Elephas maximus indicus: one gene and its partners. The protein of the gene in region 1 purifies or fractionates together with the protein of each later gene. This does not show direct contact. Links are inferred from orthologs where the notes say so. Each region holds a gene or a part of one and is shown in the gene's direction. Other genes may lie near its edges.

Evidence for each region. Proteins that work in one complex are often made in the same cells at the same time.
Region 2: the proteins of SEC13 (region 1) and NUP107 purify together in Homo sapiens (affinity purification with mass spectrometry; 8 studies listed by BioGRID and IntAct, counting the BioPlex papers as one, with this or other methods). This does not show direct contact. The link is inferred for Elephas maximus indicus from reciprocal best matches to the Homo sapiens genes SEC13 and NUP107.
Region 3: the proteins of SEC13 (region 1) and NUP85 purify together in Homo sapiens (affinity purification with mass spectrometry; 5 studies listed by BioGRID and IntAct, counting the BioPlex papers as one, with this or other methods). This does not show direct contact. The link is inferred for Elephas maximus indicus from reciprocal best matches to the Homo sapiens genes SEC13 and NUP85.
Region 4: the proteins of SEC13 (region 1) and NUP98 purify together in Homo sapiens (affinity purification with mass spectrometry; 4 studies listed by BioGRID and IntAct, counting the BioPlex papers as one, with this or other methods). This does not show direct contact. The link is inferred for Elephas maximus indicus from reciprocal best matches to the Homo sapiens genes SEC13 and NUP98.

The regions. Positions count from the first base shown.
Region 1 is NC_064838.1:35,209,859-35,217,226, reverse strand, and holds the start of SEC13 (protein SEC13 homolog), read left to right. Parts: upstream 1-3,964; 5' UTR 3,965-4,066; coding exon 4,067-4,069; intron 4,070-6,678; coding exon 6,679-6,723; intron 6,724-7,368. UniProt on the Homo sapiens protein: Functions as a component of the nuclear pore complex (NPC) and the COPII coat. At the endoplasmic reticulum, SEC13 is involved in the biogenesis of COPII-coated vesicles.
Region 2 is NC_064822.1:129,495,103-129,502,467, forward strand, and holds the start of NUP107 (nuclear pore complex protein Nup107), read left to right. Parts: upstream 1-3,996; 5' UTR 3,997-4,081; coding exon 4,082-4,089; intron 4,090-6,372; coding exon 6,373-6,464; intron 6,465-6,946; coding exon 6,947-7,033; intron 7,034-7,365. UniProt on the Homo sapiens protein: Plays a role in the nuclear pore complex (NPC) assembly and/or maintenance. Required for the assembly of peripheral proteins into the NPC. May anchor NUP62 to the NPC. Involved in nephrogenesis.
Region 3 is NC_064837.1:65,551,072-65,559,517, forward strand, and holds the start of NUP85 (nuclear pore complex protein Nup85), read left to right. Parts: upstream 1-5,077; 5' UTR 5,078-5,215; coding exon 5,216-5,248; intron 5,249-5,257; exon of another isoform or gene 5,258-7,125; intron 7,126-8,378; coding exon 8,379-8,446. UniProt on the Homo sapiens protein: Essential component of the nuclear pore complex (NPC) that seems to be required for NPC assembly and maintenance. As part of the NPC Nup107-160 subcomplex plays a role in RNA export and in tethering NUP96/Nup98 and NUP153 to the nucleus.
Region 4 is NC_064825.1:53,106,060-53,114,354, reverse strand, and holds the start of NUP98 (nuclear pore complex protein Nup98-Nup96), read left to right. Parts: upstream 1-4,926; 5' UTR 4,927-5,113; intron 5,114-8,295. Other genes in the region: PGAP2 (post-GPI attachment to proteins factor 2), read right to left, coding at 4,512-4,519. UniProt on the Homo sapiens protein: Plays a role in the nuclear pore complex (NPC) assembly and/or maintenance. NUP98 and NUP96 are involved in the bidirectional transport across the NPC. May anchor NUP153 and TPR to the NPC.

The DNA.
Region 1 (7,368 bases):
AGCTCCCCAGCTTGCTGCCCTCAATAGATGAGGGAAGAGCAGGCAGCCTCAGTCAGTGGTTCCCGGGGCTGTGGAGTGCCCCGCCTTCACAGGTGTGCTGGGAAGACTCTAAGGAGTTTCTGCAACTCGGGCAGAGCCTTCCCAACTCTGGAGCAGCCCCAGCTGCTCCCACCAGCACCTCACCATACCCTCTTAGCCCACCACAACACAGAGCTGGTAAGAGGGAGGGCACCCTGCTTCTGAGACCAGACTAGCTACAGTGACTGCACTAGAGCAACAACTCTGGGCCTGTCTGAACCTGGGTATCCCAGTTATCGAATAATGTATTCTCTTCCCCAACTGTTTTAAAATACCACTTTGACCATGTACTGACACCTTATATTACTTGGGTCGATTTCTGGAATTTCTATTCTGTTCTCTCTCTGGGTGTCTCATCTGGCACCAGCCACATGGTTTTAATTAATGTAGCTTTATAATATTTTACTACCTGATGGGGCAAGTCTGCTTCACTCTTTTACAGAATTTTCTGGTCATTCCCTGATATCTGTTCTTCCAAGTAAACTTTTAAAATTTTGCCTAATCTTCCACTCCCTGCCCTCCTCTCACCCTAAATCCTGGGCCCTGCCATTCTCTGTGCAAATATCTTCCTTCCGTTGCAGTTACTGTCCACTCTGGGCCACTGGCAACACCGTGTCCTGTAAGGGGGAACCAAAAAGGCTTCCTGCCTCGAGGGGAAGCTGAATGTTCCCCCCATCATTTCGCCTGTCCCCTAAACCCAGGAGTTGTCAGGAAGACCACTGAGCCCCACCTAATCTCAGTTTGGGAAAGAGTCATCCCACTTTCGTTGTACTGGGAGGGACCCTCCATCGCCCCTGGCCCAGATGAGAAAGAGTAATCTGTCCTAGACCTGGAGCACCAGAGCTAGCTAGTAGAGACCTTTGCAAGGCAGAATGTGTGGCCCAGTTGTCTGTACTTCTCATCCTCATCGTGGAGAAACATTGATTCCCATCTCCCTTTCCTGAGCTGATTTCAGAGGTTGTGTGATGGGCCCTTTGGGATGCAGCATGTCTTGCCAGGACCATACCCTCTACCCCTACAGCCCCTCTCCTTCTTGCTCTACCTAGAGGAGGCTGCCACCTGGTGCACTCTCATGAGCCTCTTGCCCAAACCTCTCTCCTGCCATAGTGTCTGAAATCTCCTGTGCTGGGGGAGGGGGTTTCTTGAGGGCTTTGGGGTCTTCCAGAGCCAAGGCCTAAATCAGACAACAGCATGAAATTCCCCGGCCTTTCTGAGTTCCAAATCAAGCTCTCCTAATTTCAAGGTAGAGATCCTACCCACCCAAGCAGGGGTGAAGGGTGGGTGGGAGGGTGACCCTGGGCCCTGGGCTTCAGCCATCACCCTTTCCACCAAAAGCAAGGTAGCTGAGGGACCACCCTTCCCAGCCCCCTAAGTATGTTTTGTAATGCCTGTGGTGCTCTCCCTCCCAGAGCTGGAACTTTCAGGGGTAGCCACTTTGCTAACTCTTGTGTGCACATATTTTATAACAGAGTAGCGACAGAATGGTGCCACCTCCAGCTTCCACAAGCTTCCCCGGCTCTGGGGGGTCTGGGGCAATTGGGGCTGGGAAGTGACTGTGCTCTTATTGTACACTTTTTATTTCTCTGTATCTCTGGCTTGTGCTCTTTGTAATTAATGGGATTTGTCTGCCTTTTCAACACTATACTGAGCAATAACAATAAATGCACATGTGGAAATGCAGACACGGTACACATCACAAGGCCTTTTTCCAAAGGACAGCTGGGCAAACCACCCCCCCACCTCCGTGAATTTGAACTGAGGGCAGTTGAGTCCCTGGGAGGGAAATGCACTTGGCCCAAGGGCACAGTGCTCAGTGGGTGCCCTCTCTCCTCCCACCAGGTCCCCCCTTCTAGAGGGAGTGCTTTTACTCATAGCTGAAAATCCACCATTTGAGGGAGACAAGTGTAGCCTGCCATCACTCACTAATTCTCCATGTAGAGTGGTCCACAGTCCCAGAGAACAAGGCCTTGGGAGAAGGGGCCTCAGGAGGAGCAGAAGATCCAGGGGCAAACAGGCTTGTAGGAGGAAGAGAGGGGACACACATTGGAGACAGCTAAGACTGGCCTGACATGGGTTCTGGGATCAACCAGAGGAAGGGGGTGGGACATATGGACATGGGATGTAAAGTGGCATCTCCTGCTGAGGAGGAGGGAGGCAGAGGGGAGCCTGGTACCCAAGAGTCTGAACTTTGCAAATCCTCTGCCAAGCATCAGCAGAGAAAGAGAACGTGCCCAGACTAAAAAACAGTCCCTAATGTTGGGCCAAGGGCTGGGGTCTCAGACATGTGCAAGCACACACACACTCCTTAGATCCTAGCCTCTTCTCAGGGACAACTAAAGCCCAGATCAAGCACCATAGGCCCATTCAACTTCCAAACACTGTTTCACATCCAAGGGCCCATTTAATCCCAACATCCACCTCTGGAGTAGGTATTATTATAATTCGCACTTTGCGGAGGACCCAGCAGCCCAGAGAGGTGAAAGGTGTGCCCACCTAGGAAGCAGGAGATACAGTATTTATACCTAAGCAGTCTTGATTCTAGAACCTGTATTCTAAACCTCTATATTATGCCTTTCAAGGCCACCAGCAAATATTTCAATGAGTAAGATACAGCTCCATTGCTTGTCCCAAATCCCCAATTTCTTCAACTTCATTACCTACACCAGGGCATTTCTTTCATAACAACAATGCCCCCACGCATTAAACTCTATTATGTCTAATATGCCATTATCCCTGTTTCCCACTTGAGGAAAGAGAGGCTCAGAGAGTAAAGTTCCTTGACCTTATCACCCAGAGTATCAGTGGGTGCAGCTACAAACCCAAGGGCAGGGTCTGTCCTTTGAAGAACAGAAGGACCAAGAGGCCCCCCACCTTTTGCTTCCTGCCCCACCCTAAACACGCCCCTGACACAGAGACGCACACTAGAGGGAAATATAAGTCCTAAACTCCTGGGTGGGGATGGGTGGTGGTTTGCTACCTGGAGGTCTGGCCAAGCTCTGTAGCACCCCACTTTTCTGGGCCCCCTTCCATAGCTCCTTGCCAGTCTGGGTCAGTTACACTCTCTGAGCTTTAACATCTTCCCTCAAGCAGTGACTGTCTCCAGCTAGGGTTCTTTTCCTCACGTTCAAGGGAGGAAATTGAAGGATTGTGACTTATCCAAGGGGAGCATAGACTCCACTCTAGGTCCCCTGCCTCCTTCAAGTCCCGAGGTGGCTTAAGGCTGGGCCTCAGGCTCTGGCCAGAAGCGCAGCGTTTCTCCCTGTGCCTGTGGGGAGCCCTCAGCTTCCCTCCTTTGGGCAGCGGGGGAGCGGGCTGGAAAACTGGGGGCTGGGTCCCGGGCTCTAGCTGCAGGAGCCTGGCTTCTCCTTGCCTGGGGATCTACCTGGTGGGCCAGACTCCTGGGTCCCGGGACTGCTGTGGAGAAGGAGCAGTTTGGAGGCGCAGGACCTACGGCTTGGGGAGGGCGGGGCAAGAGGTTTCAGCTTTTTTTGCCCCTTGTCCCAGCCCTTGGTCCTGAGGATGGGCTAACCAAAAAGGGAGGCTAGCACCAATCTACTCACCCCCGCCCCCAAATTGTTCGACCTACAAAGTTCATCATAAGGTCGCACCCAGAACCGCAGGGAGGCTGGAAAAGCTGGAGTTAAGGATCCTTTCTTTCATTGATGCGTCTGAAGAAAAGGGAAGGGCTGCTCAGGAAGGTAGGCGAGACAGAGCTTCAGATTCCAAACGGTCCCGGGTCAGGAACGCCGTGGAAACCAGAGCCGTCCCGCCTTGGCTTCCCGAGGACGAGGCTAAGGGGCGGGGCAGCGGGAGGGCGGGACGCGGCCTCGGGAAGGCACGGAACCTTCGTGGGAGCCGGAGCGGGTTGCTGCTCGGAGGCTCCTGAGCCACGGCCCGACGGCCTGCCAGCCGGCGCCGGAAGTGGGGCGTTCGGAGGTGCCGCCGGGAGCTGCCACGTCCGAGGCCGGGAGCTGCCGCCGCACCAGCCATGGTGAGTGTCGGGGCCGGCGATGCCGAGTGGGGCTCGGGCCCCGGTCGCTGTCCTGACAGAGCTGGCCTTCGCTGGTCCCTCGGCCGCGCTGAGGCTCCCACCCGGGCAGGGGTGATTCCAGCCCCCGCCGCCGGTTCGGGGTGGGGGGATCTGGCGGAGGAGGAGGCCCGCGTGAGGCCGCCGGCGCCCCGGAGCTCTGCGGGCCGCGCGGCTGCCGCGTCTCCCCTTCTCTCCTCAACAATTAAAGACAACGACAGTGCAGCACGGCAGCTGCTGTTCCCCCAGCGCTCAGTCAGGTCCAGGCGTCGCTCGTGACGGCCGCGCGGCGAAGGACGGCCTGTTACTATCGACGTTGTGCGGACGAGGAAGTTCGCGGCTCTGAGAGCTGAAGCCTCGTGCACGGCTGCTGAATGGCAGAGCTGAGACTCGAACCCCCTTAGCCATTCCCTCTCCCAGCAAAGATGTCTGTCGACTTTCTGGGTGCTGGGTCCCCCGAAGGTACCCCAGCTGCGAGGGACACTGCAGGAAACTGACGTAGGGATGAACTGAAGGACTCCGAGGGCAGGGCTGAGTGTCCTATCTCCGTGCTGTCCACGGTGTGCACTCGCGCGACGCGTCCTCGTTGAGGGAAAGACTGGATGGACGAGAGCTGAGAGCTGAAAGCATCCAGCCTGAGCCCGAGTCTGGCCCCGAGTGGGGATTCAGTAAACGCAGGCTGTCAGGAAAGCGGCTGCGCTTCATCAGCAGGCATGGGGGAGCCAGCGTGGACCCAGAAGTCAGGACACTGGGTTTAGTTCTTGCTCAGAGGGGAAGGCTCAGCCTTGGTATTAAATCGCCGGCCTCTTTTGGCCTCAGATTCTTCAGCTGCTGGTCTCTTATGCTCTGACATTCAGCTCATTCTAAATGAATTTTTAACTCATTAACTGATTCTGAAGAGCTGAATTGTTTTGCGTGTTGCCTCTTAAAAAGGACCACATAACTCCAGGTGCTCGGGAGGAGGTACTCTCAGAGCTTTAAAAAACACAACAACACTGGTTCAGAAGCATTGTTAACCAGCCCTCGCTAGTGGATGAGAGCGGTTAGAAATAAACGCTGGTTATCTCTAAGGTCTTTTGATGATCTGGTATAGAACTACTTCCCAGTAAACTTTCTTCCTGAATCTGTTCAGCCTTCAGCTATTGGATTTAAGGGATGTTCTAAATAGGCAGCCTGATGGAGTGGGAAGCTTTGTGGGCTGGGAGATAGGAGATCGGCCTTGATTCTAAGCTCTGTGGCTGTAGCAAGTGCTTTTCTACTCTAGGCTTCCATTCCTTAATCTGTTAGACAGCCCTGATTAACTCTGTCTTTCGTACATCCCAGCACACACGTGAAAGCTCTTCGTAACCTAGACAACTCTGCACACACAGGAAACTCTTCTTATCGTCCTTACTTCTCTTCGCAGACCTTGTGCACCCACTTGTTAGGGAGTCTAGCATTTGATGAAAGAACCTGGGCTCTTTTGATGTGTACCTTTTGAGCTGCTTTGCAGCCGTCCTCTTCCAGTGTCCACCTTTCTGAAAAGTCAAGTCAAACTTTATCCCTGCAGGGCTTGTGCAGGAAAGATGAAATAGGGGAAACGGTTAGAAATATCAGTTCCAAATTGAAACTTCCTTTTCAGTGCCCTTTTCCATCCTAAAAAATTTAAAGAATAGTGGTCAGTTTTGTTCACTCATTTATTCATTCAGTGAATAGTCACTCAGTTCCTTCTGTTTGCAGACACTGTGCTGGATGATATGAGGGGGTTAAACATGGCAGATGACTCAGACCCTGACCCCAGGGTGCTCACCTTCTAGTGGGGAGAAGAAATAACATGGAGTGTTGTAGACATTCAGTGCTGAAGATATTCAGAAGAGTGCACCTAGTTAGAGGATCTGGGAATTGTCCAGAAGGGGGTATTATTTGAGCTGGACCTTGAAACATGGGTAGGAAGGCAAAGACCATGACAGCCATCTTCTAGCCCTACAAACTACTCAGTCCTAGACCCCATTAGGTGATAGCCTCAGGTCTGTCACAGGTGATGGACCAGGGAGCATCCTCAGAAGGAATTTGAATCAAGTCTGCAAGTCTTAGGTATGAACCCTGTTATACAGAAACTGCCCAGAACATCAGGGCTCTGTCACCCAATAAGGGAACCAATAAGCTCTCTCAAGGTCCTCCTCACCTCAGTGGTTGCCTGGACTGCTTGCTGTTCCCCTACACACATCAAGCTCTTTCACACCTCTTTGTCCTTGTTCATATTGTTCCCTCTGTCTGGACTGTCCTTTTTTTCCCCTGTGCCACTTGGCAAATTTCACTCATCATCTAAGCCCCGGTTCATGTCTTCTACCACCACCACCTCGGCATCTACTTATGCCACGTTAGGGTTATTTTATGTGAACTTCTCAAGGGCAAAGAGTACCTTTTATTCATGTCTATGTCTCCAGTCCCTGGCATAGTGCTTGGCAAAAAGAATGACTGTTAAATGAATGAACAAATGGCAGTCAAGAATTTTAGAAACGGTTGGTGGGTTTAATAAGAAGATTGCATTCTAACTGCCATCAGTTAATTTACCAAAAATATTTTGCTTCTAGGTGTCAGTAATTAACACCGTGGATACTTCCCACGAGGACATGATTGTAAGTATTCATTCAGCCCACCCACAGAGGTTGTGGACACGGGCACCTCTGGGGAAGGGACACAGTTTGTGTTTTTCATTACTCCTTTCTATTGATCATTCATGGGCCAAGGTGTGGCTTTGCAGCCTTCTGCCAGTTAGGCTGTAGCTGTAGAGGGTATAGTCAGCCCAGACATGTCCTCTGAGTTGGCAGTGCTATGGCAGTCTGGTCACCTTTAGTGGAAGGAACCTAGGAATGGTTTTAGCTCGTGGCTCTCAGCCCTCTAGCTGAGTGGGTGCGGAGGTTTGACAGTAGTCTTCCTACCTGCCTTCCTTCTGCTCCCACCTCTTAGCCCCATTGGAAAGGGGGCTGAAAGCGGGAACATGAAGGGAGAGTCAAGACGATGACTCACTACAGAGGCAGAGGGAAGCCGTGGCGAAAGCCCAAGGCAGAACCAGGCAGGACCACCACAGACAGCTGGCCAGGCGAGGCCCTGTGAGCCAGAGTCATGAACTGAGGGTGCTTCCTGAGAGGCAAACACAGGGCTCAGTGTGAGAGGTCAGGGCTGCACGAGTGGGTCCAAAGGTTAAAGTCCCAGCAGAAAAAATCATACACTGCTTCATGCAGGACCTGGCAGTCCACGCAGCCTTTGGACAACAGCATTCC
Region 2 (7,365 bases), on another chromosome or scaffold:
CTACCAAGCATAATGTCCTTCTCCAGGGACTGGTCCCTTCTAATGTGTCTAAAGTGAGATGAAGTTTCACCATCCTCCCTTCTAAAGGAGCATTCTGGCTGTACTTTTTCCAAGACAGATTTGTTCATTCTTCTGGTACTCCATGGGATGTTCAATATTCTTCACCAACCAACACCATAATTCAAATCCATCAATTCTTCTTCAGTCTTCCTTATTCATTGTCCAGCTTTCACAAGCATACAAGGCGATTGAAAATACTATGGCTTGGGTCAGGCATACCATAGCCCTCAAAGTGCCATCTCTGCTTTTCAACACTTTAAAGAGGTCTTTTGCAACAAATTTGCCCATTGCAATGCAGAGAATACCAGGAAGATGTTTACTTGTGTATTATGGACTATGCAAAGGCATCCAATGGTGTGGATCATAACATATTATGGATAACATTGCAAAGAATGGGAATTCCAGAACACTTAATTGTGTTCATGAGGAACCTGTACGTAGATCAAGAGGCATTAGTTCAAACAGAACAAGAGGATACTGCGTGGTTTAAAGTCAGGAAAGGTGTGCATCAGGATTGTATCCTTTCACCATACTTATACAGTCTGTATACTGGGCAAATAATCTGAGAAGCTGGACTATATCAAAAAGAACGGGGCATCAGGATTGGAAGAAGATTCATTAACAACCCATGATATGCAGATGACACGACCCTGCTTGCTGAAAGGGAACAGGACTTGAAGCACCTCCTGATGAAAGATATAAGACTACAGCCTTCAGTATGGATTACATCTCAACATAAACAAAACAAAAATCCTCACAACTGGACCAATAAGCAACATTATGATAAAAGGAGAAAAGGCTGAAATTGTCAAGGATTTCATTTTACTTGGCTCCACAATCAACACCCATGGAAGCAGCAGTCAGGAAATCAAACAGCACATTGCATTGGGCAAATCCAGTGCAAAAGACTGCTTTAAAGTGTTAAAAAGCAAAGATGTCTCCTTAAAGACTAAGGTGCACCTGACCCAAGCCACGATATTTTCAGTCACCTCATATGCATGAGGACAATGATTAAGGAAGACCAAAGAAGAATTGATGCCTTTGAGTTATGGTATTGGCAAAGAATGTTGAATATAACATGGACTGCCAAAAGAGCAAACAAATCTGTTTTGGAAGAAGTACAGCCAGAATGCTCCTAAAAAGCAAGGATGGCGAGACTATGTCTCACATACCTTGGACATATTATCCAAGAGGGATTAGTTCCTGGAGAAGGACATCATGCTTGGTAAAGTAGAGGGTCAGCGAAAAAGAGGAAGATCTTCAATGAGATGGATTGACACAATATTTGCAACAATGGGCTCAAGCATAACAATTGTGAAGATGGCACAGCACCAGGCAGTGTTTTGTTCTGTTGTACACAGGGTTGCTTTGAGTCGGAACCAACTCGATGGCACCTAATGATAACAACTTACATGGGTGTTGATGGTGGATCCAAATAAAATGAAATCCTTGACAACTTCAATCTTTTTCTCCATTTATCATGATGTTGCTTATTGATCCAGTTGTATTTTTGTTTTATGTTGAGGTGTAATCCAGCTGAAGGCTGTAGTCTTTGATCTTCTTCAGTAAGTGCTTCAAGTCCTCTTCCCTTTCAGCAAGGAAGGTTGTGTCAATTGCATATCACAGGTTGTTAATAAGTCTTCCTTCAGTCCTGATGCCGTCTTCTTCTAGTCCGGCTTCTCAGATTATTTGCTCAGCATACAGACTGAATAGGTCTGGTGAAAGGATACAACCCTGACACACAACCTTCCTGATTTTAAGCCACACAGTATCCCCTTGTTCTGTTTGAAGGAATGTCACTTAGTCTATGTATAGGTTCCTCATGAACACAATTTATTCTGGAATTCCCATTCTTCGCAATGTTATCCATAATTTGTTATGACCCACACAGTCGAATGTCTTTGCATAGTCAATAAAACCCAGGTAAACATCTTTCTGGTAGTCTCTGCTTTCAGCCAAGATCCATCTAACATCAGCAATGATATCCCTTGTGTCACATCCTCTTCTGAATCTGACTTGAATTTCTGGCAGTTCCCTGTCGATGTACTGCTGCAGCCGCTTTTGAATGCTCTTCAGCAAAATTCTGCTTGCACGTAATATTAATGATATTATTCAATAATTTCCACATTGTATTGGATTGCCTTTCTTTGGAATGGGCACAAATATGGATCTATTACAGTTGACTGGCCAAGGAGCCGTCTTCCATATTTCCTGGCATAGATAAGTGAGTGCTTCCAGCATTACATTCATTTGTTAAAACATCTCAATTAGTACTCTGTCAGTTCCTGAAGACGAGTTTTTTTTTTTTGCCAATACTTTCAGTGCAGCTTGAACTTCAGTACCATTGGTTCTTGATCATATGCTACCTCTGGAAATGACTGGACGTCAAACAATTGTTTTTGGTACAATCACTGTGTGTATTCCTTCCATCTTCTTTTGATGTTTCCTGCATTGTTCAATGTTTTTGCCCATAGAAGCCTTCAATATTTCAACCCAATAGGGGGAAATTAACATTTCAGTGATCTACCCTGTGCAGTGTAAATTTGCCATCTTCCTTTTTAATCCTCACAACAACTCTGTAATAAAGGTGTTATCTCCATCTACTGATGAGGAATACTCCAGAGGGTTCAAGCCTATATTACCAACTAACCAATCCACTGCCATTCAGTCAGTAGGAATCATAGCGACCCTATAGGACAGAGTAGAAGTGCCCCACAGGGTTTCTGAGGGGACATCAAAGCCACCTTTATTCAAAACGCCACGGTATTCAAAACATGGAAAGGCCTTCCTGGGAATGATGGCTTCCCAGAATTAGAATGTAAATACTGTTAAAACAAGAGTCATTATTAAGCCAATAATGGAAATTGATTGAGTTTACTTAATACACGATTTTCAACTAGGGAGTTTCAAAGCTGAGAAATGAGAAAACTTCCAAAGACTCTTCTACCCCATCTTATCAACATTGCCATGGAAAAAGGTACAGAGCTGATAAACAATTTGTGGTCAGGAAATTTCATACAGCATTGTCTTGATGAACAATTAAAATAATTACTAATGTATCCTAAAATATAACTCTAGTCTGACCTTTGACGTCTGTTTCCTGAAACTGAATTCTTCAAAACAACACAATGCCCAAGGCAAATTGGTCTTACTTTAATGGTTTACCTAAACCATTGTTTGACTCAAAGGTGACTTTTAGAAACCTATTTTTTCAAGGCTCCAGGTTCAAAAGAAGATCTCAAAGCAATGGCTTGGGTGTGTCACCTCAACTCCATGGACCCCAGAAATCTGGATTTCAGAATTAAATCTGTTCCTCAATGTCTAAGGTGAAACTTCAATAGATCCGTTCGAGACCAGAATATACTTTTTGGCTGGAAGGCAAATAGAGAGCAATACTAACACTTTCATGCTGCTTCTCTTCATAACAAGGAAAAAACACCAAGTAAAAGACAAATAGTAATTATGGAAAACAACTAAGAAACTGTAGGGGGTTACACCACAATTCAAACAAGGTGAGTGGAGTTGAGAGAGACAGGGACCCCTGCGGGGTAGGAAGATCTCCAACGTCTGAATTCCAAGTCCTGGCTCATTCTGACCGAGAATACCAGAAAATGGCTTCATATTTTCTTATACAAGCAGTGTACGTCGACATGCTTCCCAACATGATAACCCAGCCCTTGGACTACTCCCACAAACATCAGTCAGGCGAAGTGGCGGCTACAAGTAACGGCCAAGCCTGGTGAGGCCCCGCCCCTCCCCGGCCTGGTCAGGTCCCGCTCGAGTCCAAAACTGTCATGCCTTTGCGCCTGCGCCAGCTGGGTCTGCGGCGGTAGACGGAACAAGTCGCGCATGCGCTAGATGGAGTTTTTGCCTTTCTCCTCCCACTTATTTCCTCTGGGGATGGGTCAGCGTGGGTATGCTTCCGGGTCCGAGGATTTGCTTCCGGAGAGCGGGAAGGCTGAAACGCGGTGGCTAAACTAGAACCAAGGTTGCAAGTTTTTTGGAGGAGAGGGCTGTAGCCATGGACAGGTCAGTTCACATGGTGACAACCGAGCCCAGAGATTTGCCCCTTCTGTCTATTGGCAGAACGAAATAGGTGAAACCCGACTCAGGAAGCCCAAGAGGTCCCGGTTGCTTCCCCCAGGACTCTTCCCGGACTGGGAGACTTGCAGCTGACGGAGGAAAGGCCTCTGGGTGTGGGTTGGGGGATGGAGAGTACGGGTAATAATAATCCTCTGCTTTCCTACCGGGGCCCTGCGACCTATTCGGCGTTTTGGCGCCACATCATTTTCTGCTCTTGGGGTGGGCAAGGTAAGTAGCGGCTGCAGATTCGAGATGCTAAGTGACCTGCCGGAGATCGCAAAGCCAGTCAGTGACAAATTGGAATCTCAGCCCAGAATTTGATTCCAAATCCCAGCAGATGGTTATTGAGTTCCTTCTATGAGCCAGCACTGTGCTGGCCGCTGGCGACAAAGATGAGTTAATCAAGGTCCTTTGCCTCGGGGGATTCTTTGTGTATCGAGGGAGACTACTAAGCAGTGGTCAGGCTCTCTGCTGCTAACCAAAAGGGCAGTGGTTCAAACCCACCAGCTGCTGTGCAGGAGAAAGATGGGGCAGTCTGGTTCTCTAAATATTGCAGCTTTGGAAACCTCATGGGGCACTTCTGCCCTGCCCTCCAGGATTGCTATGATTGGAAATCAACTCGCTGGCAATGGGTTTTAACTACACAGTATAAAGTGATAAATGTTTTGTAATGCACGCTCGTTGACGTAAATGAGGGAAGCATAGTCTCCCTGTCAAGGGAGGTAGCAGGAAGGCCTCTCAAAAGAGGTAGCTTTCAAATTAGTCTTTGAATAATAGTTGTTGTTAGGTGCCATAGATTAGATGCCAGCTCATAGCGATCCTGTGTACAACAGAATGCAACACTGCCTGGTCCTGCGCCATCCTCACCATCTTTGCTATGTTTGAGCCCATTGTTGAAGCCACTGTCAGTCCATCTTATTGAGAGTCTTCCTCTTTTTCACAGACCCTCTACTTTACCAAGCATGATGTCCTTCTCCAGGGACTGATCCCTCCTGATGACATATCCAGAGTATGTGAGACAAAGTCTCACCATCTTCGCTTCTAAGGAACTTTCTGGCTGTGCTTTTTCTAAGACAGATTTGTTCTGGTCAAAATTACCCATTGCCGTTGAGTCTCTTCGAACTCGACGACCCTATAGGACAGAGTAGAACTGCCCCACAGGGTTTCCAAGGAGTGGCTGGTGGATTCAAACTGCTGACCTTCTGGTTAGTAGGATAGCTCATAACCACTGTGCCACCAGGGTAAATAGAAGAACCAAATTTTAAACCTGAATCTGTGTGTCTCCATTGCTGGAGTTCTTAACCTCAGGCTGCTTGTAGGCAGGTAAGTGTTCACCAGGTGGACAAGAGGGCAAAAGTAGACCTCTGTAAAAGGGACAGCATGTACAAAGATGTGAGAGTATGAAGGTGCTTGCTCTGTGTACCTGAATGGTCACATGCAGTGTATGTTTGTATGGAGTAATGTTTGGTGCTCAGACTGGATTGGTAAGCTGGAGTCAGGTTGTAAATACCGGGCTAAGGAATTTGGACTGGATTCTATAAGCCATAAAGAGAGCTATCAGGGTTTTAAGTGGAAAAAAAGCATATTCGATATGTGTTTTAAAAGAGGCCTCATAATCTGTACTGTTTAGCTTCTAGACCTTCAGGTGAGAGTGGTAGGGGTGATCTGGAGCGTTAGAGATTACAGGTAGTGAGAGAGGAGATACTGCGAGAGGAGATGCCTTATTGCACCATATCGAGAAATGACTTGAAGGGTCATTTCTCTCCAGTTCGCTAGCATTCTTTTTTACTTATTTCACCAGCTCAAGCAACACATTTTTCCTTAGTACCCATGCTTTAAGGTACTTTGGAGACTACGGAAGATCCTTTAAGATATGGTCCCTGCAGTTAGAGAACATCTCAATCCAGTAGGGGAAAGATTTACATTCATTAAGCAGTTATCTAAAACAGTGTTATTTTAATACAGATTTCAAGAGTTGAAGTAATTCCCTAGGAGAAAACTTTAATGTAGTAAAAGTCAAAGAAGCCTTTGTGCTGGTAAGATTTGAGTGTGATTGAGGCTTAATCAGAATTTGGCGTGAAGAGGGCGTTCTAAACAAAAAGATCAAAGTCTTGGCTACTGGAATTACCTATACCTTGACTGACTCAAGGTCCTTTATCATGATGTTAAAGTTCTTTCTGAATGCTACATTTTCACTTTATTCACATTTCACTTTATTCACTATTTTAGGAGTGGCTTTGGAGAGATGTTATCCCCTGCGATCCGAGAGGCAGAGGTGACTCGGACTGCACGGAAACAGAGTGCTCAAAAAAGAGTTTTAAGTATCCTTTACATTTTACGCATATTTATAAAAAATTGCAACGTGTTTGGAATCTGGGTTATAGACTTCTTTTTATGAGAGATACTGAACACTAACTGTAATAATAAAATGCTTCAGAAATTAGCTTTGCTCACTCCACAGATACTGTTATTTGGTAATGAGATTAAGATTTATATTTCCCTCAATATAAGACTGTACCATCTTACTGCTGATCGTCATTATGGTTAGCTTCTGCTGACGTTATAGATTTTTTTTTTTTAATTTGGAATTGAACTAAGAACTCATAGTGAACGACAGTGGTCTACTACTGACATCTAAGAATTTAAATGGCAGACAGAATTATTTACTCTTTAAAAAAAGGTAGCTGTAAAATACCTGGTTCTTTAAATATGTATTCCCATGTTTTGTATAGTGCAAATACGGTTAATTCTAACTTAAAGGATCTCTTTTCTACTTGGAAACTTTTCTTAACTTTCCTAACAGTTCGAGCATCGCAAGACGAAAATTGTGCTAACACTACACCAAAAAACCAGGTTATTCCTCGAACTCCCAGCTCATTTCGACAGCCTTGTAAGATTTTTTGCTTTTAAAGCATTGAATGATAACATTAATGATAGCAATTAATATTTATTATACACATAATGAATATATTTGGCTGCAGTATCAATAATAATAATAATGAATGCAGCCACTATTTAATGATTGCAGCTTACTGTGCTTTACATAAATGCACATTAACTGTGGGATAGATAGCATCTCCATCTTACCAAAACGGAAAGTGAGGCTTTGTTGCAGTGGAGTTGACCCTAGCTTATGGCAACCCCAGGATTGGACTATTGTGATCCATAGGGCTTTGAGTTTTCACTGGTTGATTTTTCAAAAGTGAGACTTAAAGAAGCTAA
Region 3 (8,446 bases), on another chromosome or scaffold:
TTAAGTATCGATAATTGGTGCATAGGAATAGGGTGATGGACGCCTGGTAGCACAACAGTTGAGTGCTCTGCTACTAACTGAAAGGTCTGCAGTTTGAACCCACCAGCAGCTCTGTGGGAGAAAGACCTGGTGATCTGTTCAAGAGAGATTACAGCTTAGAAAACCCTATGGGGCAGTTCTACTCTGTCACATGGGGATTGCTATGAGTTGAAAATCGACTCAACAGCACCTAACAACAGAAATAGGATGAACCAGCTAGAATGTGCTCTCCAGGGCTAAGTTCCAAGAAGGGGTAGGAGAGCTAGAATCACAGAGTTCTTTTAGAGCTTTAAGTCCTTGCCAAAAACCCTGAGAAATGTATAACTGAATTTGTAATACAGACAACTCAACTGGGCATGGTTTATACCACATTTCCCTCATGCTCTAAGAAAAATTAGTTGAGTACTTGAGCTGCCTCTGAGTATGCCGCAGGAAGTCTGGGGCCAGAACGGTGATGTAGAAACCATCCAGATTTCTACCCTTGGGTCATGGCAAGGAAAATAGGACCCAAGATTATACCAGCAGTCAATGCCAAGAGCCCAGCATACAGCATTAGCTGTGTCAGCTGGGGCACAGGATATAGAAAAAGATTGCCCGTTTAACACTACTACATATTCACTGAATATTGATATACATATTGTGCAAGCATAATGTAGAGACTGGTCCTATTTGCTTTTTGAGGTCAGGTATCATCACTTTTCGTTTTTGTATTCTCAGCAAATAACAAAGTCCTGAATGTCGGTGGTCAATAAATGTTCACTGACTTATTGATCCAGTAGTAACTTTTCATGGTACTTTTAATTTTGTTTTTGTTGAGAATATACACAGCAGAATGTAACACCAATTCAACAGTTTCCACTTATACCGTTTAGTGACATTGTTTACATTCTTTGAGTTGTGCAACTATTCTCACCTCCTTTTCTGAGTTGTTCTCCCCCCCGCCCGTTAACATAAATTCACTGCCCCCTAAGGTTCCTATGTAATCTTTCAATCATTAGAGTTGCTGTTGTCACTTTCATTCCATGTAAAAACCCAAACCCTTTGCCACTGAGTGGATTCTGACTTGACTTAGAGAGACTCAAAGGACAGAGTAGAACTGCCCCACAGGGTTTCCAAGGAATGGCTGGTGGTTTCAAACTACAGACCTCTCAGTTAGCAGCTGAGCTCTTAAACACCGTGCCACTAAAGGGTTCCTTTCATCCCATATAGCTAATCCTTAAAAGTGCATAATGCTTAAGGCAGACCTTTTTACTAGTTAAGCTAAACTATTGTTTGGTTTTGAGAAGACTTCAGGGGATACTTCTGGTTTAAGTTTTAAAGGCTATCTCAGGGCATTTATGGCACCTTTCATGAGAATGACAAAAATCCTTAGCATGCCTAAATAAGACGTCCTGAGTACCTGTCAGTTATGCAGCCTGTACAATGGTAGGACAATCAAGTTTTTCTAAATCCATTAATGCTTCTGTCTTACTCCTCTGTTCATCACTGGATTCAAACAGGGCACTAGCAATGAGGCCCAGCAACTTGAAGCTGTTGGCTAGCTTCATAAAATGCACAGAAAGAAATTAAAGCTACAGACCACAGAGTTATGCCCAATATAGATACTATCTTTACTCTCCAATTCTCATTTTTAACTACTCTTACCTGGAGATAAGGAAGGTAGAGTTGGAAGGATGGTTCTCAAAGGCTGGTGCTCTGGGTAACAGCATCAGCTTCACGTTAGACATGCAAGTATCTGGCCTCACCCCAGACCTACTGAGTCAGGAGCTCTGGGGATAGGGTGCAAGAAGAGGTAGTTAATAAGACCTCTAAGTAGTTCTGAAGTCCACTGAAGTTTCAGAACTATGAGCCTAGAGCAGCTTTTACTACACTAATATAAACTTGTCACATTTAGAATTTTTACTTCTCAATTTTAAGTCTTTTGTGGCTAGATCTAGGCTATCAAGCAGTTTTCATAAATAGACACACAACACACAAGTGGAATTTTTTTAATAACTTACATACGTATATTTATTGATATATATATGTGGAAACCCTGGTGGCATAGTGGTTAAGTGCTACAGCTGCTAACCAAAGGATCCTAACCAAAGGATCGGCAGTTCGAATCCGCCAGGCGCTCCTTGGAAACTCTGTGGGGCAGTTCTACTCTGTCCTGTAGGGTCGCTATAAGTCGGAATCGACTCGACGGCACTGGGTTTGGTTTTTTTAGATTATATATGTAATATATTTATATGTCTTTTAAAATATTAAAAACTTAAAATCCATACATATTCCCATAACTTTAATACAATAACTAAAACCTACTGCCATCGAGTCGATTCCGACTCATAGCGACCCTATAAAACAATACTACTTCTCAATTTTAATTTTCAATCTTTACCTATATGCATACTCATTGACGTAACTGTAGAAATATACAAATTTTGGTTCACCTATAGCCTTATAAAATTATTTGGTAAATATGCTAAAGACAGCTTTTTTTTCCTGATTACAAGAGTAATAATAATAATTCCTGCCAATCCTGTTTTCTACTTAAATATCTGTTAAAAAAAACCCCAAACTCGTTGCCATTGAGTCGATTGCAACTCATAGCAACCTTTCATTTTTCATAAAATTGAGAATTTTTTAAGAAAATTTTACCAAATGTCATCTTCATAGAATTTTACATTTTATCACTATATTGTTAGCATTTCCTACATCACTGAATATTCATATAAAATTATTTTTTTGAAGGTGGAGCATCTATTTATTTTTTAATACAGAAAATACAGGCGTATTTAAAAAGGGAAACATGCAAAAAAGTCACAAAGAGTAACAAAGTATATCACAAAACAAGAAAGTAAACTGAAAATAACAAGTGTACTAAATAAAACAGAGCCCAGCACAATGTTGGGCTTTCTTCCTGTGAGTTCCAGGATGCCCAGGCACTACCAGGTAGAGATGATCCCGCTTTTGCAAGAGCCGGTTGGTTGTGCAATGGTTAAAACCCAGTCCTCCTTTTCCTGAACAGTCACACCCTGTCCAAGCTGAGAGGCAATGAGACCGGTTTGGTCTTATGCATAAAACTGCCTTTTAATGACTGCATAATATTCCATCATAAGCCTTAGCTAAGAGTGAGACATGCGGGTTATGCCCCTTTTTTAGTGTGATTATTGAAACTGTCCTTCTTGATTTTTCCCTGGAAGTAGAATTATGGGGACAAAATGATGAACATTTTAAAGCTTCTTGACTTTTCTGTGTCTCGTCCAGTCTTTACAGTTCTTTTAAATAGGTTAATATTTCATCTGATACTGTTTACTTAGCTGTTCCTCTATTCCTCTTTGGTTGAACCACACCAGTGGTTCTCAACAGGTACTATTTTGCCCCCTAGAGGACATTTGGGACTGTCTGGAGACAGTTTTAGTTGTCACAATTGGTGAGGAGTGCTACTGGTATCTAGTAGGTTGAGGCTAGGGATGCTGCTAAACATCCTACAATGAAGGCAGGACTAATTGCTAGAAAAAAAGCATCATGTTTGGTAAAGGAGAGGGTCAGCAACAACTAGAGAAACCCTCAGTGAGATGGATTGACCCACTAGCCACAGGAACAGTCAAACAGACATCACGGAGATGGTGCAGGCCCAGGCAATGTTTCATTCTGTCACATAAGGTCTCCATGAGGTGCAGCTGATTAAAGAGCAACCAACAACAATAGCTCTATTGACTGCAGTTTTCTTTTAACTAATGAGTGTACTTGAATGGTTGTGTAAAGTGGCTATTTTGAATAGCCAAAGCAGATATGGTAACCAGTTTCAAAAACTTCCATTTATCTGCTACTGAACGCTTATTTTACTTTTGGAAAATGTAAGCCTCTTTTTATCCCTTAGAAAATGGGCCACACCGTTGGTATTAGGCACTCAGATCAGTGAAGCTGTGGTACATCTGCAAAATGCAGCGAGACGTGGATGGGGGAATTGTTGAGTTTTATCCGAACTGCCAAATTTCATTCTACAAGTGGCTGACTTTTGTGAATGGGACTTGGATTTAATTGTACTAGCCCACAGGAGAAAACTAACACTTCTCACCATTCCAGAACAGCTTATTGTCACTAATTCATGTAGATGATTCCAATAGTTTTCAGGGAAAGAAGCACTGATCCCATTGATAGATTTATTTTCAGATCAACTTCCCTCCTAAATAAAAAAAAGCTGTTACATTTTCAGGGAGTGTATTTTTTAAGACTTACTTTTAAATTTCGAATTATCTTCAGTTCGTTCAAAAAGTTGCTTGCATAGGAAATTGAGAACAGATGGCGCAGGACCGGACAGTGTTTCGTTCTGTTGTACATAGGGTCGACGGCACCTAACAACAACACTATTCTCTTACTTGATGTGTTATATGGCAGTAAAAATAAATAACTTCACACCTTGAAGTTACTTAACACTTTTCAGTTTTCCGTAACAAGGCCACGCAGTCTCTGATTTGCGTGTCTCCGCTGTGCATTCATTTTGCTCTGCTTTTCCTTGGAGAGATAACAAACCCAGTATTTGTGTTAAGCCACCCCAGCTGTCTCACTTCACAGTTGCACCAATTTGTCCGCGTGCTTCTAGTGTGCTGTAGCGTGGGAGTGGGGGCCACTGCCTTGGCACACAAGCCCGCCAGAGCGGCGGGACTAGGGGAAGGGGCCCCATTACTCTGGACACCAATGGGAGAAGCGATGATGCTAATGTGGAGACCGGGAGAGAGAGACAAAAGCCAGCTGGGAGAGGTCGTAGGCACGGCACAGAGGCCGGGTTCCAGCGCCCAGGCAGCCGCGCTGCTTCACGCACGCACGGCCCCACCACCTCCGCCGGGCGGCCCTCCTGTTGCTCCCGCCCCCTCGGGGGCCTTCTTCCTGCCCGGCGCGGGCTGTCCGTGGCGGCGCCTGACCCGGCGGCAGGGTTACTAGGAGGATAGGCTGCACCTGGCGCTTTTCCCCTTAACTGCTGTCGAGGCCAGGAAGGAGGGAATACGTTAGACAGCCGCAGGGGTGGTTATGGCTGAGAGGAGAGGCTCCTGCAACGTCGGGGAGCTGAGCCTGACCGGCACTGCTGGAGGCGCCCTGACGGGGTCCTCTCTCTCAGCCGGGTTCCGAGCGGGAGGCCGGAGCTGGAAGCATTGGCGGCTTGTCCAGTTCCAGGGTGCTGAGACGCGGCGCGATGGAGGAGGTCGATGGAGAGCCGATAATCACTGTAAGGGCGCCCGGAACAGGCTTGCTTGCCCTCACGATCCGAGGGCTGCGTCTGCTCCGTCGCTGCAGGCTTGTCCACCGCCTTGCGGCTCGGGAGGCGCCCGTATCCCTTTCCTCGGCTCAGTTGCCGCCGTCGAGAGATCGCGGCTTGAACTAGGTGCCCGTGTTCGGGTCGCAGTGGTCGCTGGGTTTCTGCTTCTTTGTTCCCTCAGAAACCTGTCCCCGGAGGCCCCATTCCATCCCTCTTCCGCCCTTGTCTTCCCAACCTTCCTACTTTGCTCCGCTTTTCCTCCTGGGTGTTAGAGCGAGTCCGGACCCAGCGTGGGTGGGGCTTTTTTTTTCCAACCGAATTAAGCTGCTCCACATCTCAGCGCCCTGAGATTGGCGTCTGCTAGTCGTGCAGTAAGGGTCCTTGGTGGCGCAGTGGTTAAAGCTCTCGGCTGCAAGCCAAAAGGTCGGCACTTCGAACCCACCAGCCACTCCGCGGGAGGAAGATGTAGCAATCGGCTCTCGTAAAGATTTACAGCTTTGAAAACCCTATGGAGTGTTTCTCTGTCCTATAGGGTCGCTACGAGTCGGAATCCAATCGATGGCAGTGGGTTTTAGTCGCCAGGTTTATTAAACGTATTTATTCTCTTGGGATCACTCCTGTTTTCACTGCTCTGTTTGCGTTCAATTCAGTCTGCACTCTCAGGAGGATATGTCAAGTATAAACGATCTGTGATTTTATGAAGAGATACATGGGCTTTGGATACTAGATACCTTTAGATATTTCCTTCCGCTGCCCGGAATGTTTTTTTCTTCCCTCTTTGCTTTATCTGCCGCTCATTTTTCAAATCTAAGCTCCGTCAGCCTCTCAGAAAAGCTTTTCCTGACCCCCTGACGAGTCAGTTTGTCTTTATGCCCTAGGCTTTCAGAGTTCTGCACCTCTTGGGTCTTAGCAGCCTCTAATAAAACCAAAAACCAAACCCGTCGCCGTGGAGTTGATTCTCACTCATGGCGACCCTAGGTGTTACAGAGTAGAACTGAGCCCTATAGAGTTTTCTTGGACGTAATTTTACGGAAGCAGATTGCCAGGCCTTTCTTCCACAGAGCTGCGGGTGGGTTTGAACTGCCAACCTTTAGGCTAGTAGTGAAAGTGCTACCCAGGGACCTACCTTGTCAACGTCTATACACCACTAACTTTGTAAGTTACCTGACCGAGTGTTTTTTGCTTTTTAGAAGGTTAAAATGCGTACAGTTTTCACCTAAAACTACCTGATTGCAAAGCAGTCTATGATAAAACCAAATACTGAAAATGGGGATTATTTCAAAGCTAATGAGGTAGAAATGGGATATGAGATCTTAAATAGCAGCTGAAATGAGTTATTTTCTACGAAGTTTATTAGTTCTATAGAGTGTTAATTATTAAGTACATGTAAAGTACCCTAAATATTAAATATCCATCAAGTACTATGTCATTGTTTGTCAGTGGTGTATTCAGGAAGAAAACTTAGAATGTCAGAATCCCTGGGACTTCTTCAAACTTCACGTCATCTTGCTGTCCCCACCTCCATTACTCTGATATTGAGCCATGTGTTTACAAAGGGGATGAAGGTGCTCTAAGCTAATTTTCCCTCCGGTGGTGATAATTAGTCCCTGAGTGGTGAAAACAGTTTACAGGCAGGCTGCTAACCAAAAGGTTGAAGGTCTGCCCAGAGAGTCCTCAGAGGAAAGGCCTGGTGATCCACTTCCAAAAAATCAGCCACTAACGCCTTACAGGGCACAGTTCTCTGCACATAGGGTTGCCATGGATTGGAATCAACTTGGCAGCTATTGGCTTTGGTTTGGTGATGATTGGCCTGTGATAACCCAGCTCTGCACTGATGTGGAGACCAGGTAGGAAATTGGTTAGCTTTGTGGGCTGAGCCTCGTAGACAGTCACAATCCTTGGTAGAACTCCATAATCCAGAGTCTGAGCCTCAACTCTGCAAGTTTAGACTTTTGTCTGTGCTTCAGAGTTAATCTGCTCTTTGGGTTTATTCTAATCAGACTTTCGAGAGGCTGATGTATTATCCTGAACACCATTTTATGAATTCACCCCTTCTCAGAATTGTGTCTGCTGTTAAGACAACTGCTTTCTGTTATCAAGGTACTTGAAGGCATATTAGTAATTAGTAGGTTCAAGGATATTTAAGCATAAATTCAAGGTAGTAGAACAAACCAAACCCATTGCCATTGAGTCAATTCTGACTCATAGAGACCCATAGGGTTTCGAATTGTTGACCTTTTTTGGTTAGCAGCCTGAGGTCTTAACCACTGTGCTACCAGGGTCCCAGTAGTAGAATAATTGTGAGTGATTCATCTAGACCAAAGGTCTTCAATCCCTTTTTTTTTTTTTTGATCAAGCACTCCTTAAGAAATACAAGTTATAGTCACCTTCCCCAGGAAAATGCCTGTATGCATATATTTTGAGGTGTTTTGAGGACCCATTGAAGCCAAGACACTTGGAAAATTCCCTCACACCCTTTGCCTAAGTCAGTTTCTACCCTGACCACTTTCTGACTCTTGTCACCATAGATTAGTTTGCCTGTTCTTGAACTCCAACATGTACTTTTTTGTGTCTTCCGGCACGCTGTGGCCTTTTTAAGTGTGAGATGCCGCTTAGGCAGCCTATAGTGGTAGGGATTAGGAGTTGGATGGATGAAACTGAGGCCCTTGGGAATTGGCCTGAGTCAAAGAGGAAATGCAGAGCCAACATCGTAGAGGTGGCACAGAAGCCTTGGGATTGGATGTCTTTATTTTTTTCAGTGTGCAGCAAACAGGGTTCGATTCTTTTTTTAACTTCCCTTTTCTGAACTACAGATCACTGAATCCCAGTATAATAATTAATTCAAATATAGCTTTTTTTTTTTTTTTTGTCAGCAATTGAGAGATGGCAGGCTGGGTTGAGGAGCCAATCAAAGCTCACTTGTGTATTAAGGGACTGTTTTGAGGTCCAGCAGACTGGGCTGATGGCAACAACTCCCAGCTGCACACAGATCAGTTCTTAATGACCTTCATGACCACTGGCTTCTAAGATTGTTTGCAGATCAGTTGAAAAGCAAAGCCTTCAGTAAGAATAACAGTGTCTGTGCCTTATTTCTCACAAGTTGATTCCAGGAGTGAACTCCAAGAAGAAGCAACTGTGTTTTGACTGGGGCCCAGGGGAGATGCTGGT
Region 4 (8,295 bases), on another chromosome or scaffold:
TCCATAAAAAAACTTGTACACAAATGTTCATAGCAGCATTACTCACAATAGACAAAAAGTGGAAACAGCCCATCTGATGAATGGATAAACAAAATATGACATACCCAGCTATATTCGGCTATAAAAAAGAATGAAATACTGATACATGCTACAAGTGTGAACCTTGAGAACATCCTAAGTGAGAGAAGCCAGACACAAAAGGCCACATACCCCTGAAACTATACGCCAGAATTTCCAAGGGCCTGATGGGATGGGTTGTATCTTCCCCCCATGTGGCTAAAACTGGGGTTGATGCTGAATATTGCTGTACTGCCTAGTGTGCAAGATAAAAAAAAAAAAAACCCACTAATATTGTTCCTATGTAACCCTACCCAATCTGAATGGGAGTGAACTAAGGGGGAAGCACTTGCTAGACTGGTCTTGCTACCAGCAATCTGGACTGGCATAGCAGCTGGGCCTGATGCCCCTTTCCAAGGTGAAAAAGTCTGAGTAAAGATAAAGGTCAAATGAAGGGAAAGAGAAGTAATAGCTGAAGGTAATGTAACGAATAAATGAGTTATGCAGTAGGGGAAATATAACATTATGCTGATACCTCAAGAGAGACTGAGAGCAAGGGAATAATCTCTCAGATAAATTTTATCAGAAGCCAGAAAGGGTGAAGGTAGAGATGACTTTTGGAGAACCTGACCAGATCATATGGACACCTGCAGCAAACCTGAATGGCTGGTACCTGAGAAACCTCATGCTGAGGACTGTTTGCCCTACCGAAAGACTAATTGCTAATACCTGTTTTGGACTTGTAAAATGATTGGGAGGGGAAACATAATCCTTCAAGTATGAAAGGGCCAATGACTAGAAGAGTTAGGAGGTGGCCTGCAGTACAATGAATTGCTCAATATGGCCCTTCTAGCCATAGTTTCTGTGATTCACACACAATGATTGAGTGCAACTACGCAATTAAGGTGTATAGAACCTGTGCTGGTTGGGGTTGTGTGTCAATTTGACTAGGTCATAATTCTCAGTATTATATGGTTGTCCTCCATTCTGTGATCTGATGTAATTATCCTCCCTTTTACGATGCGTTGTGAATCCTAGCCTGTATGCCTGTGGTTGTGTTAATGAGGCAGGGTTAGGGATATAGCTTGAGAGTCCGCCAGGCACTTCTTGGAAACTCTATGGGGGCAGTTCTACTCTGTCCTCTAGGGTCACTAGGAGTTGGAATCAACTCAATGGCAGTGGGTTTGGTTTTTTGGGTTTAACCACCTTACTAGAGGGTGTGACTCAAGACACCACCCTTACTCCAGTTACTACCCTTACTAAAGGGCATGACTCAAGTCACTGCCTTCTCAAGTAGGGGAGTTTCCTTGAAGGTGTGGTCTGCATCAAATATATATGAATGCTCTGGGGAAGTTCTCTCACTCTAGATCCTGCATTTCGGTCATGATCATCTAAAGTCTGATTCTTGGAGCTTGAGCCAGCAGCCTGATCTCTGACCTGCCGATTTTGGGATTTGCCAGCTTTCACAGCCCCTTCAGCCAGCAGCCTATTGTCTGACCTGATTTGCCAACTTCCACAGATTTGTGAGCCAGCACCCTGTTGTTTGACCTGCCAGTTTGGGTTTGTCAGCCCCTGCAGCCACGTGGGTCTGGAGAAGCCTCCAGCCTGATGCCTGACCCATGGATTTGGGACTTGCCAGCCTCTATAACCATGTGAGCTATTTCCTTAAGATATGGTTCCTGAGTTCTGTGAGATGTTGCAGCGAATTACTGAACCCAAGGATGGAAGGAACAGTACTAAGAGGAAAAGGAGCAGTTCATGTTAAAGATGACGGAGTAGGACAGTAGTTTGGAAAAAAGTTGGACATGTGTGGCATCTTTAACCTCCACCTCACAGGAACCAGCTTTGTGCTGATCCTCGTAAAAGAAATTATTCATTCAACATTATTTACAAAACTTAACCTTCCTTATCAAGGTACAGGTGAGGAGGAAGAGAATCAGTATGAATCAAACATGTGCCCAGTCTCTGGCAAATTCCTTTATCTTTTTTGACCTTCAAGTAGCAATTATTGTATCCATTTAACAAAGAAATTAGGGCACAGAACAATTAAATAATTTGTGCACACTCTAAAAAGTAGCAGATCTAGAACTTGAACCTAGCTCTGTTTTACTCCAAGTTTGTTGCGCTTAGACTTTCCTCAGTTGTCCTTCTTAATCAGTGTAGGGTGTTGATCTGTGGATATCTCTGGGCTCCTGATGCTCAGAACAGGGCTTGGCTCAGCAAGCTTTTGAAAACATGTATCAAAATGCTTATCTTTAGAGTGGAAGAAGGAAGATGAAAATTGAAAAGGATGCTATGAGAGTTAGGCAGAGTAGGAATATGTGGGCCCAGGAAGCCCTGGATCCACAAAAAAATCCTCTCCCAGCCTAAGGTCCCTGGGAATGGGCTATATGTCTATCACAGTATCAAACAATACTACTTAGAAATCACCATGGTCTCAGGAAATTCCTCCTTGAAGCACTCCTTGTCCAATATGTCCACCTCCACTCTCCCCACAAGTGTGTGCTATTTAAGGATCCCAGCTCCTGCATACCTGATGTGTATTTCTGAGCCTCTTCTCTGCATCAGACCCCATGTCTTAAGAGTATGTAGAGTTAAGAATGGAAGCTCCTTGACATTAAGGAATACAAACAATACCTAACACTTATTCAGGGCTTATTAGGTACCAGGCACCATGCTAAATGCTTTATATGTAATATCTCATTTAATTCTCACAACAACCTTGTGAGGCAAATACAGTTGTTATCCCCGTCTTACAGACAAGGAAACTGAAGTTTAGAGAGGTTAGGAAATGTGTCTAAGTTCACACAGTTAAACCCAGATTTAAGCCCAGGGTTCTCTGACTCTAAAGCCCAACATTTTTACTATGATTTCCTCACTGTAGAAAATAATTCACTCATTCATGCATCAAACATCTAATGTGTATCTACTCTGTGCCTGATCCTACCAAAACCAAACCCGTTGCTATCGAGTTGATACCGCATAACGACCCTATAGGACAGAGTAGAACTGCCCCATAGGGTTTCCAAGGATTGCCTGGTGGATTTAAACTGCTGACCTTTCGGTTAGCAGCCATAGCTCTCAACTACTACGCCGCCAGGGTTTCCTTGCCTAATCCTAGGAATTCCAAATTAAATTAGTAGAGAAAAGTCTTGAACAGAGTTGTGCTTGAGGAATGAAGGAGGAGAAATCAAAGGTTCAGGGGGGCAGTGAGGAAGCTACAGTAACTATTCCTGGAGAGTTTATGACTTTCTGATGTACAGCAAAGGTGTTGGTGGGGGGTGGAGAGCCGAGAGAGTAGGAACAGGTGGGGGGCCTGGTGCGGGGGGGATGGAGACAAAAGGAGGGATGTTTGGATGGAGTTCAAGGAAGGTGGCTCGAGTTAGCTGCTTAAACCAGCTTTACTATTTGGCAATCAATGTATATTTTTTATCTTCCTTTAAGCACATCCATCATCTTATTTCATCTATACAACCACGACACTTTCTGACAAATTAATCAAATATCCCTTTCTACTATTAAAAACTCAGGATTTAAGTTCACCTATGCTTTGGGCAGAGCCCATTTCAGTTTTGCATTGATGGAGGTGGTGGTGGAGGGTAGTCCGAAGACGTTTTCTGAGCATGAGCACAGCCCCTGCTTTTCTGTATGAGATCCTCAGCCACTAGATCAATCCAGTTTCTAGAACATTGCTCACCTCTCCTCCTTGTCATCAAGTTTTTTTCTGTTCTGGGCACAGAGGACAGGCAAGTAAATAATAGGATACAGTGACTGAGGCCTGTTAGGAACATTAGTCCAACTCTGCTTGGTGAGGTTGGCAAATGTATCCCAGCGAAGGCGGGAACATTTGAACGCGGCTCTTAAGAATAAGTTAGGGTTGTCTGAGAAGACGCCTGGCGGTACAGTGGTTATGCCTTAACCGAAAGGTCCGCGGTTCCAACCACGAGGGAGCCGCTCTGCAGGAGAAAGATGTGGCAGTCTGTGTCTTGGAAATCTTAAGGGGGAAGTTCTACTCTGTCCTATAGGGTTGCTATGAGTCAGAATCGACTCGATGGCAATGGGTTTGGCTTTTTTTTTAACTGTAGCTGTTATCAGGAACGAAGTCCCTGGAATCCTCACTTGTACCAAGCTCTATGCTGGGCTATTTCCTTAGGGCATCTCAAATGTTCATAAAGTCTATTCCAGCGTATATAATTCCCCCTTCTCTTTTACGAGAGGTTACTGAGGTTCAGAGAGGGTGTACTACTGCTGGCATGGGTCAAGAGATGTGGGGGCCGCGATTTGGGGTTTCAGAGCCGTCGCAGGCAAGTTCTTCCGACAGACGGACCTCCCGGGAAAGACCTAGCTCCGCACGTGGTATGGCCAAGAAGTGTGAGCAAGGCGACAGGGCAGCCTTCCCATCACCGCCCGCGGACCTGGGGGGCGGGGGGGCGACGGAAGGGTAGAATAGTTACCAAGCCATCCTGGAGCCTTCCTTCTGATTGGCCCGAGCTTCCGCAGCCGGAGTCTTTGGGCCCCAAAGAAGGGGAGGAGCGTCGGTATGGCGTCACCACTCCTCTCCCACACCCCGCCCGGTCCACCCCAATCTAGCCAGTCACCAGCCCACTTCTAGGGGCCCTATGTGACGCCACGACTCTCTCCCAGCCAACCGCGGCAGTGTGGGGGCGGGACTCCATGATCCCTTCCACCGCTCCTCCCCTTTCCTCTCTCTAACTCTTTATGCCCCTCCTCTTCCCACTTGTCCCTTCTCCCGAAGACCGCCCTCACGTTCTGTTTCAAAAGACTAGTTGCCCAATGAATAACAGGGCGGGCCTAGAGTGGCGGCCTCGTCTGCCAATGTTCAGACAGCGAGGGCGGAGCGCTCAGAGCGAGCCTCTGACGGCAGGCGGCGTGTGACGCAGTCGGGCCCTCTGCGCTTTGCGCCCGGAGCGGCGGTCGGTAGCGGTGGTAGTGGCGGCGACGGTTTCGTGGCGGCCGCGCGCTGCTCAGAGAGCGGCGGGTGGCGAACGGGCCTGGGCTCTCACTCCTGACACTTCCCCTCGCCCACCGCATCGCGGTAAGTCGGGAGCCGGAGCAGCGGCGGCCGGGGGCCGGCAGGCTCCTCCCCTCAGGGCGGGCGGCTGCGCGGGGCGTCCCAGGCCCTGTCAGCGCCGAAGTCTCGCGCCCGTCGCGCACCTTCTACCCTGAGGGAGGGGGCGGGGCCCACGATCCTGCGGCCCCCAGGCTTAGCTTTTTGGGCCCTGGGAGGGAATCGATGTGGTGGGGTCTGGACCGGGGGTGGGGGTGGGGAGGGGGTGGTCTCCAGTTGCAGCCCATGGGGATAGAGCATCCATTTAGCTGGTTGTACTGGTTTTTTTTACTCATTCATACGCTTGGCGGTGATAGGCGCCGGCGCTGGGCCGGCCTCGCCTTAAGACCCTGAGTATGATCTTCCCAGACTTTCTTGACGTTGGTGCAGAAATGGGTTTCATTTGCCATGTCTTTTGCACGAGACAAAGGTGGTAGGTGGGTGTGTTGGGAGTTTGCTAGCTTTCTAAGATAATATCTGAGAATTAGGATCGGTTCAGTGGAGTACAGGGTTATTTTCTGTTCTCCCACGTGTTCCGTGTAAAGCCAGATGAGAAACAACATTGGGTTCCTGGATAGTTATATAGAAATTATTTGAGCTAGTCACTCCCCTGCATCACATGCAAGCTGTACAGATGGAGAAACCGAGGCCTAGAGAAAGGACGGGATTAGCCAGACGTCCAGACTCAGTCTAGAAATTTTTTACTACACCCTCCTGGGAGGTCAGTCTTTGATTATTGAGGATTCCGGGGATGGGGAGGGGAGATATTCGATAGTTAGGAGTAGATGTAGTCTTAAAGAGCGTTTTGAATTTGAGTGTTGCTATCTCTTCAAAATAAGAGAGAAGCTTCATTAGTGGTACCCTTACCTAGACCAAGGGAACTAACCTTAAAAGTTGATTAAAGAACGTTTGTGGTGTTATGTATTGGAAACGAATTGATAAAACTACAAGTCGTTGGCTAGTTTCCCGTTTTAGATCTGAATTTTTGACCCGTGTTAGCGACTGTGGATTCTGAGGAGTCCAGTTAGTGACCCACAACAGCATTGGGAAGTATAGACAAGACGTATAAAGCTAGGCAGCGGTCACTTTGTAATTCTTGTACCTTGGAACTCCATGGTTCCTGTTTGGTGCAAAGTTCAAAATAAAGTATTCTGATAGAATAAAATGAGGGAATTAAACTCCGATTTGGAAGAAGCAGCTAACTGCAAGAAAAGAACAAGGATTATTCTCTTGGCAGTTTCATAAATTCAGAAAGAAATATTTGTTAACTGGGTGACAGATGGTATGTTTACTTGGAGAGAGAAGTTAGGATATCAAAGCCAGACATTGGACAGGATGGAGGTAATGGACATAAATACTTTGATAAAATTATTATTTTTTACTGTTTATTTAAGATTTAGAAATGGAATTACTAGTTTTGCCCCTTTGGTCTATTCTAGTCAGTCAGATTGTTACTTCTTGTTTATATGACAAAGCAAAAACTGAAAAATTTCGTAGTGTATGAGAGCAGACAAGAGCTGTAGTCTAAATACTAAGATGTGGACAGTGTGTGTTTTCTGTGACATTTTCTCAGTTCAAGCATTGCTTTCTTCTGGGAAGACTTTCCTGGCATTCTATCCCCCTCAAGCTTCCATAACACTTATTTGATACTTCTGTTTATAGCACATACAGTTTTGCATTTTAGCTGTTTAATTTTTTTTATTATACAGTGGTAAAATGTTGTTATCTTTGTATTCAGGTTGCTTGGCATGTAGTAGCCAAGCATGTGTTTGCTTGAATGAATAAACAAATACAGAGGAGTTACCTAAAAATAATCATAAGAGAGTCTGAGTATTTACATGCTTCTGAAATGTGAGGCCCAGATAAGAGAATTGATATAGCTTATATAATGTGTAATTTTTATTTTGGTACCTGAATTTATTCATGTCCGTTAGCTCCTAGATTTAAAAAAAAGAAAAAAAACCTAGTCCAGTGCCATCGAGTCGATTCCAACTCATAGCGACCCTATAGGACAGAGTAGAACTGCCCCACAGTTTCCAAGGAGCACCTGGTGGATTTGAACTGCCAACCCTTTGGTTAGCAGCCATAGCACTTAACCACTACACCACCAGGGTTTCCTGGATAGCTAAGAGCAAGTAGAATTTCTAGGGAACCAAACTTGCTGGCAGATTAGAAAAAATCGGTCGTATTATTTTATTGTATTATATTATCAGTTATATTATTTATTTGCTGACAGTTAACCTAGAAGTAAGGGATAGTAGCTCTGATGTTTATTTCCAATAAAGAGCATATCTGTAATTATGCAGTTTGTTGAAAGATTAGGGGATTTAGAAATTTAGAGATTTAAAAATAGGTATTAGAGGCACGGATTGTGTTAGAAGTGGGATTAGAGCCCATGCCTCCATTCAGAGACCGGAATGCCTGCAGGCAAGGTGTGCACCTTGAGTCTGGTGCCTTACACTACTCAGCCATTCTGACAAGTACAGCCAGAATGATCCTTAGAAGCAAGGATGATGAGACTTTGTCTCTTGTACTTTGGACATGTTATCAGGAGGGACCAGTTCCTGGAGAAGGACATCACTCTTGGTAAAGTAGAAACAAACAAACAAAAAAAACCCTGCTGCTGTTGAGTCAATTCTGACTCATAGCAACCCTATAAGACAGGGTAGAACTGTCTCATAGAGTTTCTAAGGAGTGCCTGATAGATTCTAACTGCCGACCTTTTGGTTAGGAGCTGTAGCTCTTAACCACTACTCCACCAGGGTTTCTGGTAAAGTTGAAGGTCAGTGAAAAAGAGGAAGATCCTCCATGAGATGGATTGGCACAGTGGACTCAAACATAACAATTGTGAGAATGGTACATGACCAGGCTGTGTTTCGTTCTGTTGTATGTAGGGTCGCTATGAGTTGAAACCAACTTTATGGCACCTAACAACAACAACATTAGAAGCAAGGAATTTGAATAATGTTTCTTGAGAATTTGGTATACCTTTTTGCGTTTGAAGTTGACCCAAACTATTTGACACAGTATGTCTCCAGAGCAAAGTTTCTCAACCCGCCACTATGAACATTTTGGGCCAAATAATTCTTTGCTGTGGAGGCTGCCTTGTGTATTTTAGAGTGTGTAGTAGTATTTTTTTTTTTTTTTTAGTAGTATACTTGGCCTTTACC